Linked DNA regions of Lonchura striata. The protein of the gene in region 1 binds, or shares a complex with, the protein of each later gene. Links are inferred from orthologs where the notes say so. Each region holds a gene or a part of one and is shown on either strand. Other genes may lie near its edges.

What was found. Proteins that work in one complex are often made in the same cells at the same time.
Region 2: the proteins of ORC4 (region 1) and ORC5 are in contact, whole or in part, in a cryo-EM structure (PDB 7JPO), measured with the Homo sapiens proteins. The link is inferred for Lonchura striata from reciprocal best matches to the Homo sapiens genes ORC4 and ORC5. Residues at the interface, in NP_001177808.1 of Homo sapiens: Ser18, Gln21, Arg22, Arg25, Glu26, Cys29, Arg30, Gln31, Arg69, Thr74, Asn100, Leu102, Leu103, Gln104, Ile105, Ile109, Glu113, Arg116, Asp162, Arg277, Met281, Met284, Leu285, Asn288, Met311, Asp312, Ser313, Lys314, Asn316, Ile317; in NP_002544.1 of Homo sapiens: Ile17, Ser20, Leu21, Phe22, Gly23, Glu24, His26, His27, Phe28, Ser29, Phe30, Pro31, Tyr36, Gly37, His38, Thr39, Thr98, Phe99, Asn100, Val103, Arg104, Arg131, Glu134, Asn136, Pro139, Gly140, Arg143, Gln145, Glu146, Leu147.

What each region holds. Positions count from the first base shown.
Region 1 is NC_134610.1:2,480,096-2,487,604, forward strand, and holds the start of ORC4 (origin recognition complex subunit 4), read left to right. Parts: upstream 1-4,458; 5' UTR 4,459-4,578; coding exon 4,579-4,647; intron 4,648-4,692; exon of another isoform or gene 4,693-4,808; intron 4,809-5,782; coding exon 5,783-5,854; intron 5,855-6,578; coding exon 6,579-6,655; intron 6,656-7,509. UniProt on the Homo sapiens protein: Component of the origin recognition complex (ORC) that binds origins of replication. DNA-binding is ATP-dependent. The specific DNA sequences that define origins of replication have not been identified yet.
Region 2 is NC_134607.1:60,494,132-60,501,708, forward strand, and holds the start of ORC5 (origin recognition complex subunit 5), read left to right. Parts: upstream 1-4,505; 5' UTR 4,506-4,563; intron 4,564-7,295; 5' UTR 7,296-7,362; coding exon 7,363-7,473; intron 7,474-7,577. UniProt on the Homo sapiens protein: Component of the origin recognition complex (ORC) that binds origins of replication. DNA-binding is ATP-dependent. The specific DNA sequences that define origins of replication have not been identified yet.

The DNA.
Region 1 (7,509 bases):
TAGCCATGGCAGGGCTCTCGCTGATTCCTGCTGCCAGCCTGGAGCTGAGGGGCACAATGCAGATCCTGGGAGCCACAAGGAGCTTAAAGCAGCACTGGAAAGTTAAAAATCAGATGGTTTTTACTGCTTCTTGTAGACGCTCATTTATATATTTGTATATATGTGTATTTGCGTATGCAGATAAACCCATTTGCGTGTGTACTCATACACTTTTTAACATTGTAGTCCAAATGATTTGGACAAATTTTAAAATAGCACCAAGTCTGAACTCCCTTCTAGACAATTCATCTAGAAAATAGGAATTGCTATAATAAAGAACTTGAAATTCAAGAGAAGTCAGCACTTCTCAATTTCTTAACTGCTGCTTTTTGTTTTATTCCTTCTTTGTTTAGCTCCAGATAGGCAAAGAAAGATTAAAGCATCCTGAAAGCTCTTTCCAATGCTCTTCCAAAATTTCACCCCTAACACCAGCCTTGGTTCCTGTGCAGGCCCATTTGAAACTGATTGAGCAGTATTATTCCACCTAATAGTTCCAAAAATAAAAACAAGGAAAAGCCAATGAGAGCCTGTGGTTTCCAACGTTCAAGTAACCCTTTAAAAGAATAAGCAGGTCCTTAATGGCATAAGAGCATTAAAAAGGAAATAAATGTATCCTGTATCTTTTTATTTTTGAAAGCAATGGTAATTCTGATTTCCACTGGGACCGAACAAGAACCAACACAGGGACAACCAAACAAACCTAAACCCTGAGACAACCCAACAAGCCTGAAAGAACAAACAGAATTCCCCACTTTCCCAAAGTTTTGACAGGATTTTTGCAAAGGAAGCTCAGCCACTTTCAAAAATTTGTGTCCCTGGCCATGAACAGATGAGATTGAACTGCTTTGTGTACGTGGCCTCTTAAGCCCATAGAGAGACACTGGGACATTAGTGTCCTCCAGATGGGCACGGAGGGCTCCCACCTGGCCTGCTGCTTTCCACAGGGACCACTGGCTGCTGATCCATAAACTCATGGTGGACCTACAGACTGTATTCCAGCCACTGAGCTTCCACAAAGAAGGAATAACCATGAGAAATAGTAGGGGGGAAAAAAAAATAAATCCACTGAGAAAGTGAATGAAATAACCCAGCTGAATCCCAAGGCATTCCACCTTGGAGAGGCCTGTGACTGATGCCAGGATCTCCAGTGCTTTTGAACAAGGAGAAACACTGATCCCTCCACAGCCCAAGAATGAAATGACTCCAAGTTGTACAAGAAAAGTTCAATTATTGAAGGTATTGCATCATAAAGATTCTCCTCAAACATCCGCCTCCCTAATCCAAACAGAGACCAACTCGTGTGTCCACAAAGGAAGGAAGGCACAGCAGCAAACTCCACAGAAACATTATTAAAGTCAGGCCTAAACAGCATCTTTATGCTCAGCACAGCCATGGCAGGTCCTTGCTAATTCCAAGCTATCTGCCCTTAGAGCCACTGACCCAGAATACAGCAAAATAATTATTAATTTTGTCCCCAAAGATAAAGATCTGGAAAATCTGCAACAAGTTTTCCTAAAAGCAATCATCACCTGTAAATATCTTGATATCAGTAGCAAAAAGGTGCTTAGGAACCCCAAATAAAAGGAAACTGTGTTGCCTTTTAGTTACAGCTGTCGATAATGCACAATCTTTCCTAGAACAGGTTGAAACATTCAATTCCTTCGGTTCTTGGAAGGCTGTGACAGCAGCCAGAAGCCCCAAATTCGCCTGAGACCCCTTTGTGCTAAGCCTGCAGAAATGCAGGAATTGCCACCCAGAATCCCAGTCCCAGCAGTGCTTCCTTCAGAGGGCCCTTCCCACCCCAATCCCACAGCTCTCTCTCCAGCACAGACGTGGCTGCAGGACTGCAGGCCTATGGAAATGAAGGTCCATCAGTAATTTTATCTCTAGGATTTAAAGCAAGAAAAATCCCTGAATTATTCTGCCCAGCTTCAGAATCCTGTTCAATTTTACTGTATAGCCATATTAAACCAAACCATAGGTACTTTAAAGGCCAAAACACAAGGAGATGGTTAAATCCTTGTAATAATTACTGTATCACATCACTGTAGGATGTGGAAGTTGGGAGCAGAGCTGCAGCTCTACATACACGGGGAATGTAATCCTGCAGCCACTATAGGCTTCCATGTACAGAGGAAAGCAGATCAATGGGATCTCCGGCTGAGAAAAGCAGCACTGTCATGAAATAAAACCATGAAATTATGTCCTTCGCTCTTGGACAGGCTTTTGCTGTCCAACTCCTACCTGTAGTAAACTAAAAGGCAAATCACATGTTTAAATCATGGGTGTTTATACACAGATCTGCTGATTTTGGGGATTGTCACTGTTGAGATTTTTCCCCCACACGTTTAAACCCAAAGTTATTACAAGCAAAAATAAAACTAACAGCAAACTATCAGAAAGAACTACAGTTATGGCTGCTGCCTCCAATTCTCCATCACAACATTGTCCAGTATCAATCCAGCTCTGGTCTTCTCCTGTTCCTTACACCCCATCAAATTACAGCTCCCACAAACCCTTCCCAGCCCGACCCCAAAACTGCTGCTTCACGCCAGACACGTGGGTAGAAATTAGAAATGGGAGACAGCCCAGCATGTCAGGGGAGCTCTTTCTTGTGGGCATCCTTCAGCATGGGGCACAGTGACACACATTCTCTGCTGACCACCATTTAAACTGGGATGCCCCTCTGGAGCACACACTCATGGCCTACTCCGTGGTTCTGCACTCAGCACTTAATAAACCAAAAATAATAAGCCTAAAATAAACCAAAGCACTCCAACCGTCTTTTGGAAATTACAGAGGACATAATTAAGCCCCAGAAATAAGCAGACAACAGCAATTTCAATATAAACATCCTCCTTGTGTAGGGTACTTTCTCATTTCAACTCGGTGTTAATGCCCCAACTCTTACTTCTGGATCCTTGCAAACATCTAGAAGGCTTCTCCCAACATTTCCTCGAGCCCAGAATTTAGTTTGACATTTCAAGCCATTGCATTTTAACCCATTTCAGACGTTGGAACACGCAAGTTTCCCTCGAACCAGCAGAAAACATGGTCAGGTCAGTCCACCAGCAGCACCTGACCAACACCGTGAGCGGGGATGGAGACGCTTGGCCTTCCCAGCAGAAAGCCATGGAAAAACACATCCCGACATCTATATCCCAACAAACCATTGACCAAATATAGCCGGGCACCACCGATAACCAGGGGCTGCTACCAAACCACATCCCAACCCTGCAAACACCAAGTCCAGCTCCTGGACTGCCTATCCCTGGAAGTTGAGCTCGGGAAAGGGTCTTTGTACAAGTGGTCTTTGTACCTTCACCACCGCAGGGGTTTAATAACTCAAACAATAAGTCAAACAACGGCCTGGAACCTGGGGGGGGGCAACGCCGGGGCTGGGTGTTATCCCAGGAAAACAAGACTTTCGGGACTCGGCCGGGGCTCAGCACCCACCGCGCCACCCCGAACTTTGCCCGGCGCCCCCGCCACCATCACCCCCCTTCCCGTGCCGCTCCGGAGGGGCCCAAGGAGCATCCCCGGAGCATCCCCCGACAACAAAGCTGGGGCGGGGGGCGCCGGGAAGGGGCCCCGGGTGACAGGCGGTGCCCCCCGGGGCAAACGGGGGGTAACCGCGGGGTAAACAAACAGCCCCCCCCGCCCCGCCGCTCCCCCCGCACTCACCTCAGGGCCCCCGGGCGCGGGGAGGAAGGCGGAGACGCACACAAAGGGTAATAAAGGGGGAGGAGGAGGAGGGAGCGGCGCTCCGCGGGGCCGCCCCCAAGGGACGGGGGTGGGGGGGCGGTCTCGGTGTGTGTTTGAGGGGGGATGTGGAAGAAACTCCCCGGCGGGGCTGCGGCGGGGGCAGCGACTCGGGGCCCCCCGCCCCCGCCTCGGCGCGGCGCTGCTTGCTTCGCGTCCCTTCAGCGGCGCGAACAACCGGCCGTCCCGCCGCCGCCCCCCCCCGCGCTCCTCCTCATCGCCGCCGCCGCTGTCGGGAAGGAGGAGGAGGAGGAGGAGGAGGAGAAGGAGGAGGAGGAGGAGGAAGAGGAGGGCAGGCAGCAGCGGCGGCCGCCACCGCGCATGCGCCCCGGGGGAGCTCGGGAGGCCGCGGGGAGGAAAGGGGGGGGGAAACGGGGGGGTGGGGGGTGAGGGGGGGGGGGACGACGACTTCCCACAGCGCCGCGCGCGCCGCTCCCGGAAACGGATCCGGGATGGGGAGGAAGGAAGTGGATGAGGGGGGATGGAAATGGACGGGGAGGAAGTGACGGGAGCGGAGCGGAGGGGAGGGGAAGGGGGAAAGGGAAAGGGAGGGCAGCGGGCAGCGCGCGGTGACGTCAGGGGGGCGGCGCGCGCGCGGGCCGGTGGGAGCGCGCGTGCGCGGCGGGCCCCGCCCTCAGGTGGGGGGGGGGGGGGGAGAGGCGGGAAAGCGCCGTGAGGGCAGCGCGGGCAGGTGAGGGAGAGCCGGCCTCCGCCTCAAACTCAGCCACCGCCTCAGCCTCCGCCTCAGCCGGGCGGGACGTGCCCGAGCAGCGGAGGATGCGCCCCACCGCCCGCCCTTCATCCGCTCGGGCTCCGGCGTCTCTGAGGGAGCCGCGGTTACAGCCTGTGAGGAGGGAGCTGCGGGAGCGGTTTCTGAGGGGGATGAATGGCTGCTGGGGCGGGGGGAGGTCTTGGCTGCCCGGTGAGGGCTGAGGGGAGCGTGCGAGCGGTGGTGGCCGCCCTCGGGTGATGGAGGAGAGGCGGGACACGCCGTGAGGGGAGGACAGGTGAGGCCAGGACAGCACCCCAGGACAGCACCCCAGGACCCTCCAAGCCCTGTAGGGCCTCCCCCCATTTCCTCAGGGTCCTCCCAAAACCCGCCCTCAGCGCCCCCACAGCCTCTCATGGACCCTCCCAAGCTCTTTGAGGTATCTCCATTCCCTCATCAGGGTCGTCACGGACTCTCCCAGCCCCGAAAAATCAGACCTCCCACCTTCCCCATTCCCACAGCCCTTCCCCAGCTCCCTCATGGACACTCTCGCCCCCATCCCCATTCCTTTCCAGAGCATTCCCAGACCCTCCTAGCCCCCATAAATTCCTCACTCCAAATCCCTCAGGACCACCCCTAAACCCTTCCCAGGACCACTTCTAAGTCCCCCTCAAGACCTGTAATTCCTCTCCAAATCCCCCTTAGAGCCTCCCTCAGGCCCTCTTGAATCCCCCTCAGAACCCTCTCAAACTTCTCAATCCCATCATGATCCCCCTCAAGGACCCCCAATCCCTAAAGTTTTCCCCCCTGACCCCCTCTGAATCTACCCAAATCTCTTTAGAGACCCCCCCAATCCCCTTAGGACCCCTTCAGAGCCAGCTTGTCCAGAGAGATGCTGTGGTTAATGTTATAAACAAGGATGACCAGTTATTCCTGTAAAAACTTAACTGTTTGTCTTGATGTGTTCCCGTGTGCTTGTAGCTTGTTCCAGCTGCAGAAACATAAGGACATTATTTTAAACTGCCTAAAGCATCCTAAAGCCAGTGCTGTTTAGGAGATGTGTGTCAACATAGGTTTATCAGGAATAAATTTAAAATTATTTCAGTGTTTTTCAGCTGTTTTTCACTAGGGAGATGGACTGTTGCATCTTTATTAGTTAAGAACAGATGTTCATTACAGTACTTAAAAATGATCGACATCTAAGTACAGTTTCGGACTGGGATTGTTTGGAAATGCTTAATTAATGAAATGCTTATTTTCTCTTCTCCAAAGATGAAACATTCTGCAACAAACAAGCGAAAGTTGAAGGAGAGCAGTGCAGAAAGTGCTGAGAACATTTCCCAGGTCAGTAACACCTTTATTCATTACTTTCTTTTCACATTCTGGACCTTTTCCACCCTGTGCCATTGATATAATTTATCTTTTTTCCTAGGCCAGTTATAAAGCCTGGCAGATACAATTGTTAGGGCACTAAATAGCTTTTGTCCCTGTGTTTCAGCTTCCCACCTGTTGATTGCTTCAAGTGTTACTGTTATAATGCAGTAAAAAACTTAAAGGATGTTCTTGTACTTCTGCAACTCTTTGTGGCAACAGATTTGCCTAAATCTATTTTTGACCATTTAGGTTTTCTTATCTTCCAGTTTGTAGGGTGAGTCAGAACCCAGGTGACATTTTTAGCAACAGAACAGCAGCTGCCAAATCAGTTTTTAATTTGTTTTGGTTTTTTTAACCTTTATTCTCCTGTTTTCTCAAAGTTGCTGGTTAAAAACTGTAATGCATCTTGCAAGGAATTACCCCTGGATCAGTGATTTCCTATATGTTTTAATATCTTCTAATTGCTTTTTCTCCCTTATATAATATTTATACAATACTCTGCCTCCTGCAACTTTATTCTTACTTTCAAGACCATTCTATCCTTGGTAACAGTAAAAATGTATGTATTATAGAATATTTTCTAACACCACAAAAGCACCTAATTTGCTGTTATTTTATTGCTGGAGTTACATGATTGGTAAATTCTGGTGTTTGGAGCCCCAGACATTTTTCCTGCGCTGTGTTACATCCCTAGGTGCAAAAAATCTTACGTGAAAGATTCTGTCACCACTGTGCTGCTGGAAAACTGTTTGGGATGGAGCAGCAGTACAGGTGAGTGAGCAGGCTCTAGGATTCAGTGATTTCTAATTTAACTGCAGTGGTAAAATAGTTTGCTGAAGTCAGAACTTTCTGCCTCTCTGTTTTACTAAGTTATATAGGTTCACTTCCAACCCAGTGCTTCCAAAAGTTATTTGCCTCAGATTGTGTAGTTTTTATACAACTGTTGCCTGCTGGTTTTGTCAGGCTCTGAGTTTTGGATTTCTTGTCCTTGTTTCGCATCTCTCATTCATGAAGCACTTTTCTTTTTGATACTTTCAGTGCCAGTTCTAAGACTTTGTGTAATGGCCTGGCAGAGCAAGAAGTTACATTCTCTTGCTGTGATACTTTATTTCTACTTCAGATTTTCTCCTGTTTGTTGGTGAAATGTGCTAGAAGTAAATCCTAAAATTTCTGTGCCAACATCGTGTTTGTTGAAGTAGAGACCAATATTTAAACTTACTTCTGGAGCCATCCAGATGGGGAATTTAGGGTTAGGAAGAAGTGATTTAAGTGGGACAATAACACTGTAAAATAATCAGTACTGGGACAGATGCAGGTCAAATTCTGCAGTTGTATTTAAAAAACTAATTTTTCCAAGACTGACTTTATATAAGTGGAATCACCTGATGTGAGCACAAGTTTTCATTACAAGAGGGACAAAAACATTTATTAAAACAGTACATGCAGAGCTCACATAGGCATTTTATTGCTGTTGTGAGGAAATGTAGTTCTGTTATGTCAGTTTTACAAAACAAGCCTCCCCTGTTTATACTGGAATTCTGAAAAGCAATTTACAGGCTGTGTCCTACTCAATGTGCCACTGGTAGTGCATTATCCTGGAGGGAAAACACAGCTCTGATTTTTCC
Region 2 (7,577 bases), on another chromosome or scaffold:
TATTTCTGTCTGCAAAATCCTCTGCATTAGATACTATGGGAGTATTTAATCCATAGAATTACTGTTTTTCATATTAATGAGTTATAAATAAGAGCTTAATTACTCCTAATTCCTTGAAAATCCACTGTTGGTGATTATAATCACTAACGATTAGATTGTTAAACATTCATCATTGTCTATCTTTAGCAAACTTAATGAGAAATTATGGATCAAATCTCAGTTTCTGATTCTGCTGCCAAGTGCTGGTGGAAGAGAACCCCTGCTGGCTGTGAGCAGTGCCAGGTCACCACTGGCATTACCCCTTGGCAGTGGCATAGGATGACTGGGAGTCAGCAAAAGATGTGAAGGGAATATACTGTGTTCCTGCCATTCACAGCCCACAGAACTGTCTCCAGGGACTATTTTTTCCTGATGTAACTAAAAGCCCTTTCATCCAAATCTGCGTTTACAAAGCCTAACTACCCCTGAACTTTCTTGTTTCATTATCAGGACAATGAGAAGGTAAGTCACTTGAGAAATTTCATCCATTTTGAAGAAAAATCACTCCATATATATTTTAAATAATCTTTACCTGGGAATTTAAGTGGATGATTTGTGTAGAGGTAGATAATGACACTATCCTTTCCACTTGCTCTGTTGAAAGAGCTGTATCATCCAACAAGGCAGGAAATGTGGTGGCAGTCATTTCTTAAACCATCTCAATGGTGCTTTCAAGTGAACATCTTTCCAAAGTATATTTTCTTCCTTCTCTTTGTCAAAGTGCTTTTCTGCACTTTTGTCAGCTGCAATTGACTTTTTGGAATAGCAAGAGACTGCTAAAAAATAATCTGGATGCGGTCTCAATAGCACCCTGCATAATGGCACCTCTGGTAAAATGTATCTTGGAAAGAAAGGGAGAAATTAAAAAAAAATACTGCACATATTCTATACACATAATTCTCTCTGTATAGGTCTACATAAATACAGAACATAGATAAATATATATGTGCTCTATACATGGTTCTATTTAGATATATAGAAAGACATATATAAAGACATAAATCCTGTAATGCACTTAAATACATAAGTTTAAGAAATGAGGAATGCCAGTGATTTGATCCAAATGAGTGAATATTCTATATTTAAAGTTTGATGCTGAACTGGAACTGTGGATGAAAAAATCTGAATGAAGATTAATCATTATCTGTACTGAAAATAAACTTCACAAAGAAAAAAGTGTTAATATAAAATATCAGACCACAAGTACAGTGAGAAAGGTCTATCCCCCGCTCTGTAACATGCATGTTTCAAGCCTCAGTTTACTGTTTGCTTCATTTTATATTTGGTATTTAAGCAGCTCATAATAAGATAAAAAGACATGTGACAGCTTAGTATAAATTAAGAAATAATTTAAAGCTTTTCAGAAATGTATATTGAGTGACATCAGTGAAAACTATGTTGATGAAAGATCTAAACTGAAATTCATTATGCTACACATAACCAGCTATACTTAGGCATGAAATCTATCTCTAGCAACTGCTACTAAACAGTTTTGGCCTCTTGAATAAAAATAAAAGTCACACTTACTAAATTTAAGCAATTTTTCTGGGAAGTAGAGACTTTCTGTAGGAATATATGGACACTGATATGCCCAAGTAAATGGCAGAACTGTTCAGTGGTCTTCTGTGATAGTTTTTAATTTGCAGATTTAAGTCCAGGATTCTGTGGTAGTTACTTCAGGTAAGTCCTACAAAACATAGCATTATAGTCCCACCATTTAAATCAATAACAATATTCTCAATTATTTTAAACTATTAAAGCTATACAGATTTTTTTTTTCTTTGAGTTTTACCTCATAGTAATAATGGTGGCACTTTGGATTAATAAGCAGAATTGTTACTGGGTATTTTGTTTGAACTGCAGACTAGAAGCTAAATAAGACAGGAGTGGAAGTCCCATAAGCAGGATTTTGGAAGAGAGGCTGTAATCTTTTGAAGTATCTTTTGGGTTGATTTCAACTGGACTGGTTCCCTCAACAATCTGCCCTTATAAACCACCCAAATCCTAGGACCAGAAAATGAGCAGAAGTGGGGACACAACAGAGAAAATGAGACCCTCCTCTTCAAGGTAATATGGATTTATGTTGTGTTGAAGTGACCTTGGGAGTCACTCCAGCCTGAGTCACTGATTCTCCAACAGAACCACTGAATTGAAAACTACATATTTAAAAACTGACCTCTTGTTTTAGGATTCTTGCTCAACTCCAAACCAAACTTCAGTTTTGCTCAGTAGTCATCCATAGAAGACGCAAGTTCCAAACATCACTATGAACTGCTTCCAAAGTATTTAATCTCCCACATACACTATAGAAATGTGGACTCACTGAGACTTCTTTCAGTTATTACATTTGAGATTTTTTTCTGAAACATGGTCCATCTGTATGCAGAGGAATCTGCCCCAACAGATTCCATGTTTCAAAAGCTAGAAGAAAAAGTATTTCACTCTGCTGAGAAGGATAGGTCATGGTATGACACATTAAAACATACCTGTTGTTCCAAATAAAGATTTTATCACAAGTCAAGAAGTGGACTGAACTAGTAAACAGCAGTAACCCATATAATTATGCTTTGTCAAAACTGATAAATAGCAGGCCATTAAAAAAACCCACCAAAAACCAAGATGTTACACAAATTTGTATAGATAACCATTCATCATTTAGGGGGTTTTTTTCTGTTTGTTTTTGTTTTTTTTTTTTTTTTGCTTCTCTTTATCTAATTTCATTCAGGTTGGTTTCAGTAGTTTCAGTCTATAAATTTACAACATATATTTCAATATCTAAAATACTATTCAGGCCAAGCCATGATGATTGTGCATGTACATGCATATTTACAAAAAACCCTGACTGCTAAAAATAAGCCATCCTTGATTCACATAAGTCTTATTTACTTATTTAACCAATATTGCGCCCAACTCTGAGTATGGAAGGAGTTTATCATTTTAGTTTTCATAACCCAGCATGCAGTTTTCACATTTATCCCTCTAATACAGTATGCACTGCTTATGCATAATATAACTTCAGCTGTAATTTGAATCTATGGTTATGTATTTTCAGAGCTTGACTGGAGCAGAGGCTCCACAGACCTAGCTTTAAGCAGTTTTGTGTATGAACACATGTAAGTTATGCGCACTTTATATGTGTAAGCTAGGTCCCACCTGTCCACAAAAATCAGATTTGTTATCTGGTGTGCAACAAGCCAATAACTATTCACTCATGAGACACTGATTATTTATTTCTGAGTTGCACAAGCCTGGGCACTTGGTGATATTCCAGAAATCAAACACCTTGCTATAAAAACTTTTTACTATTTATACATTTTAGCAAACAATGGAGACAGTGTTAATTTCCTACAAGTTACAGAGTTCTCTTATTAATTAGTATTCATTAGCTAGTGATTCGCTTCTTATGCTAATTAGTCTGCATGCTCAAACTTTCTCTTCTTTTGGGTCTGGGGGTTTCTTGGGTCCATGGTCACCGTCTGCCCCTGCCGGAATTACCTTCTACCCAGTGGGAGCTGATTTAGCACAGTTGGCTTTTCAAGTTTTTTGCTTATCTCGGGTGTTCTGCCAACTGTCCTCGAGGCCCGTAAATTCTGCATCCTTTGTGCCCGCTACTAGTGAGTACATCCTTCTTCCCAAGCCTCGTTAACCTGCCCCGAGCTCTGAGATCACTGGAACACGTCCAGCCCTAGACCTTAACACGGCACTTCTACCAAACTTGTCTTCCTAACACTGGTCACCGCTTAGAGCTTGCTAGGCATTCTCTGTTTCACAGATTAATTCTCCTTTCTTGTTGATTGGATTTCAAACCATGCAAAGATCAAAGAACATCCCTTCTTAAGAAAAGTTTACATGTTTCGTATTTTGCAACACCCTCAAGCCTGTCCCTGTGGGAGAAATGGCTCAGCCCTGGGGCTCCCACAGCGGCAGGGTGCCCCAGCGGCTTTCCCAGGGGGATAACACGGGATAGATATCGCGTGGGACACCCGGCGGGGGAAGCGGCAGAGTGCCCCAGCGGCTCTCCCAGGGGGATAACACGGGATATCCCGTGGGACACCCAGCGGGGGAAGCGGCAGGGTGCCCCAGCGGCTTTCCCAGGGGGATAACACGGGATAGATATCGCGTGGGACACCCGGCGGGGGAAGCGGCAGGGTGCCCCAGCGGCTTTCCCAGGGGGATAAACCCAGCGGGGGAAGCGGCAGGGTGCCCCAGCGGCTCTCCCAGGGGGATAACACGGGATATCCCGTGGGACACCCAGCGGGGGAAGCGGCAGAGTGCCCCAGAGACTCTCCCAGGAGGATAACACGGGATATCCCGTGGGACACCCGGCGGGGGAAGCGGCAGAGTGCCCCAGCGGCTTTCCCAGGAGGATAAATGGGATATCCTGTGGAACACGCGGCGGGGTAAGCGGCGCATTCCCCTCACGGCCGCCCCGCCCCAGGCGGGCCCGCGTGGCCACGGCGCATGCGCGCGGGCCGAGGCGCTGGGCAGCGGCGCGCGGCGGCGGCGGGAGCGAGTGAGGAGCCGGTGAGAGGAGCCGGGCTGGGCGGGAAGGAAGGAAGGGAGGCAGGAGTGCCGTGAGGAGCAGAAGGGGCAGACCTGCTTCTGTTCCGCTTTCTCGGTAGGAATCGGTGCGGGAGCGAAACCCGCATCAGGCTGAGCCGGCCCTTAGGCCGGGAGCACCCTCAGCCTCGCAGGCGTGGCGGAAGGAGCCCGCGCTAATGGAGGCCGGGGGTCGGCATTCCCCCTGAGCCACGGCACGCCCGTGCTGGCCGGGGGGCTTGTGGGGCCTGAGGGGACGCAGAACCGTGCTAATCTCTTAAATTCAGTCATTTTTGTATGTTATTTTTGTGTTAGAGTGTGGAAAGGCTGCCAGCTGTAGGTATGTTAGGACCAGTGAGTTGAGAGAAATCCTAGTAAATCATGAAGTCCCGCCGTGAAGTTTAACTTGTGCTCTTCTTAGCTGTGAAGAGGTCTCAGGTCTCAGCTGAAAAGTGATTTTGGCACCTTCCTGGTCTGGTTAGTGTCATACCTACACCTTCCCCGGGCTGGAACACCCTGAATTCAAGCTTTGGCCGATACTTACCTTCTGTTATCATTACCATTTAATCTAAATTAATTATTTCGTGAACTCGTTGCTCTAGGCATCCTTTATCGTGAGCACATGAATGGGGTGCTGTTGGAGATTGAGACACCTACGTATAGCCGGTAGAGATGTAGGTTTTATTTCGCGGGCTGAAATGTGTGTGGTGGAAGTTGCTATTTGCAGGGTGTGCGAGAAGCAGGCGGGGCTGGCAGATACGGTGCGGTCGGAGGGAAGTTTGCCTGGGAGTGGCCTTGAAAAACTGAAGTGCTTTGTGGAGTGCTTCAGATGCGTTTAGGACACAGTCAAGCCCTGTTCTTATGTAGCCAGTGGAGCAAAAGGGCTGTTTTTTGTGGTTTTGTTTTTTTTTTTTTTTTTTCTTAAATTTACACAAGGTTTTCAGCCTTTTCTAGTACTTTTCCCCCACTTGTTTGTCCTGGGTTTTAGAGGCTCCTGCCATAGTTTTTTTCTTTTCGTCCTTGAAATAACTAGCTAATTTTTTAACTTAATCAAGCTATTTGGATTTTTGCTTCTTCATTCCATTTTGAATGGATACCTGAATAGGTATGGTGGAAAGATGCACAGACTCATTCAAAGCTGGTAAAATACACCAAGGCTCTTTGTATAATTCTGTGTATAGGAAATAGTTTGCTTGATACATATGATTGTGGGGTTTTTTTGCCCCTAACAACAGCATTACTTTGACTTTCCATACTTAGTATGCGATTGACTTATAAATAAACATATTTTCATATTTTCATATTTTTCAGGTTACTTCTGACTTAGTTTCTTGATATCTAACTGTAGTCCTTATATGTGATGTGATTACTTTAAAGTAGGTGTAATATAAGTACTAAGTTAGTTATATCATCAGTGATATAATTTTTTTCCTCATTAATTCCATTTATTTTTCTGTTGATGATTCTACAATCCCAGCTTTTACTTTAGAAAACACTGAAGGCAAAGTGTAAAAATAAAAGAAAATGTATTTTCTCAAATAAATTTATGGAAATACTGACCAGAGATTTGTCCCAAAAGGAACTCTATTTTAAGGTATTTCCATAAATACATTTATATTTACAAACCTCCTTGTAGTGCAATCCACTACTGCATTTTCCCTTCAGAAAAGTTGGTTTTCCCTTTACCTTGCTCTTTCTGATTTCCTTCTGCTAACCTAATCTTTTTTCCTGTGTTGTTGTACTTATAGCCAGCATAATATATATGCCTGTAAATACTTACATTTAAAACAGTTGGGAGTGCTTTGTTTTATTGTCTTTGTCTTGATAACATATAGATAATCCTGTCACTTGATATCTTTATTGCCTTAATGAAATTTCCAAGCTTTCTTTTTGATTGTTGTGTTGTGTTTGACAAAGTCAGAAACCAGCTGTTGAGGTTCAGTTCTCTCTGCATGTTGTCTGTATCACAACAGGTAAAAGTACCATCTTTCCAGCAGTTTTAGAAGTGCAGAGAATATTGTTGAGGTGTTGTTTTGTGTTCTGTCACTGAAATCCAACCTTCCCAGTGTTAGAGCAATCAAGACCTTTGTTTTTCTTTATCTAGTCCTTGTCTAAAAGGTAAATTGCCATTAATATTAGTTTTATGTAACTGGTTTGGACTCCTACTATTTTTAAAGAGTATTTCCAGTCTTTACCATCAACTGGATTTTCTTTATATGCCTGTGCTCCTTCCAAGATGGGGTTAGCATTCCTGTTAGCAGCCAGAGATCTATTACTTTGTCATCCTTATCTTTCCTTATGTCCTACCTCTTTTCCTGTTGTTTGATGATCACCTTCCTGATCATCATCCCTGCTCAGGGAGGTGATCATCTATGACTAAGCTACTCATTTTTATTTTCTTGCTAATTTTAAGTGTATATAAAATCAGAATTAAATGTGTAATTCCTCAGTTAACTAAACTGTACTGATTTGCTCATATCCTGTATACCTTTATATTTTGATTTGGTTTTTTTTTATTTTGTCTGGTGTGGAAATGTCTATATAGTTATGTAGTTAAGTCCAATTAACTCCTTATGTAGTTAAGTCCAATTTTACCAAGTCTTTTAAGTCTATGATAGTTACATGCTTTTCTTGAGCTAGAATGTCTGTTTAGATTTTCTATAGATTCCTTTTATGTGTATAGATGCAAGTGATAACAAAAACTTTTTATTTTCCAGATTTTTCTTGTCTCTGCACCTCAGAAAGGACATGCATATTTAGGTGACTAACTACAGGACTAACAAAATGCCTAATCTTGAACATCCAGCGTACCCAGCAGCTGACCTGCTTCACTTGGAAAGTTTAGTGCCTTGTCGAGAATCCCAGGTGTCCACGTTGCTGTCAATATTTGGCGAGGTAGTGCTCTTGTATTCTATGTTTGACTAGAACAAAGGCATTCCGCTGCCTCAGGGAAGAGAATAAAAAATTTAAGGGTATTTTTGTGATGTCACTGTGAATGT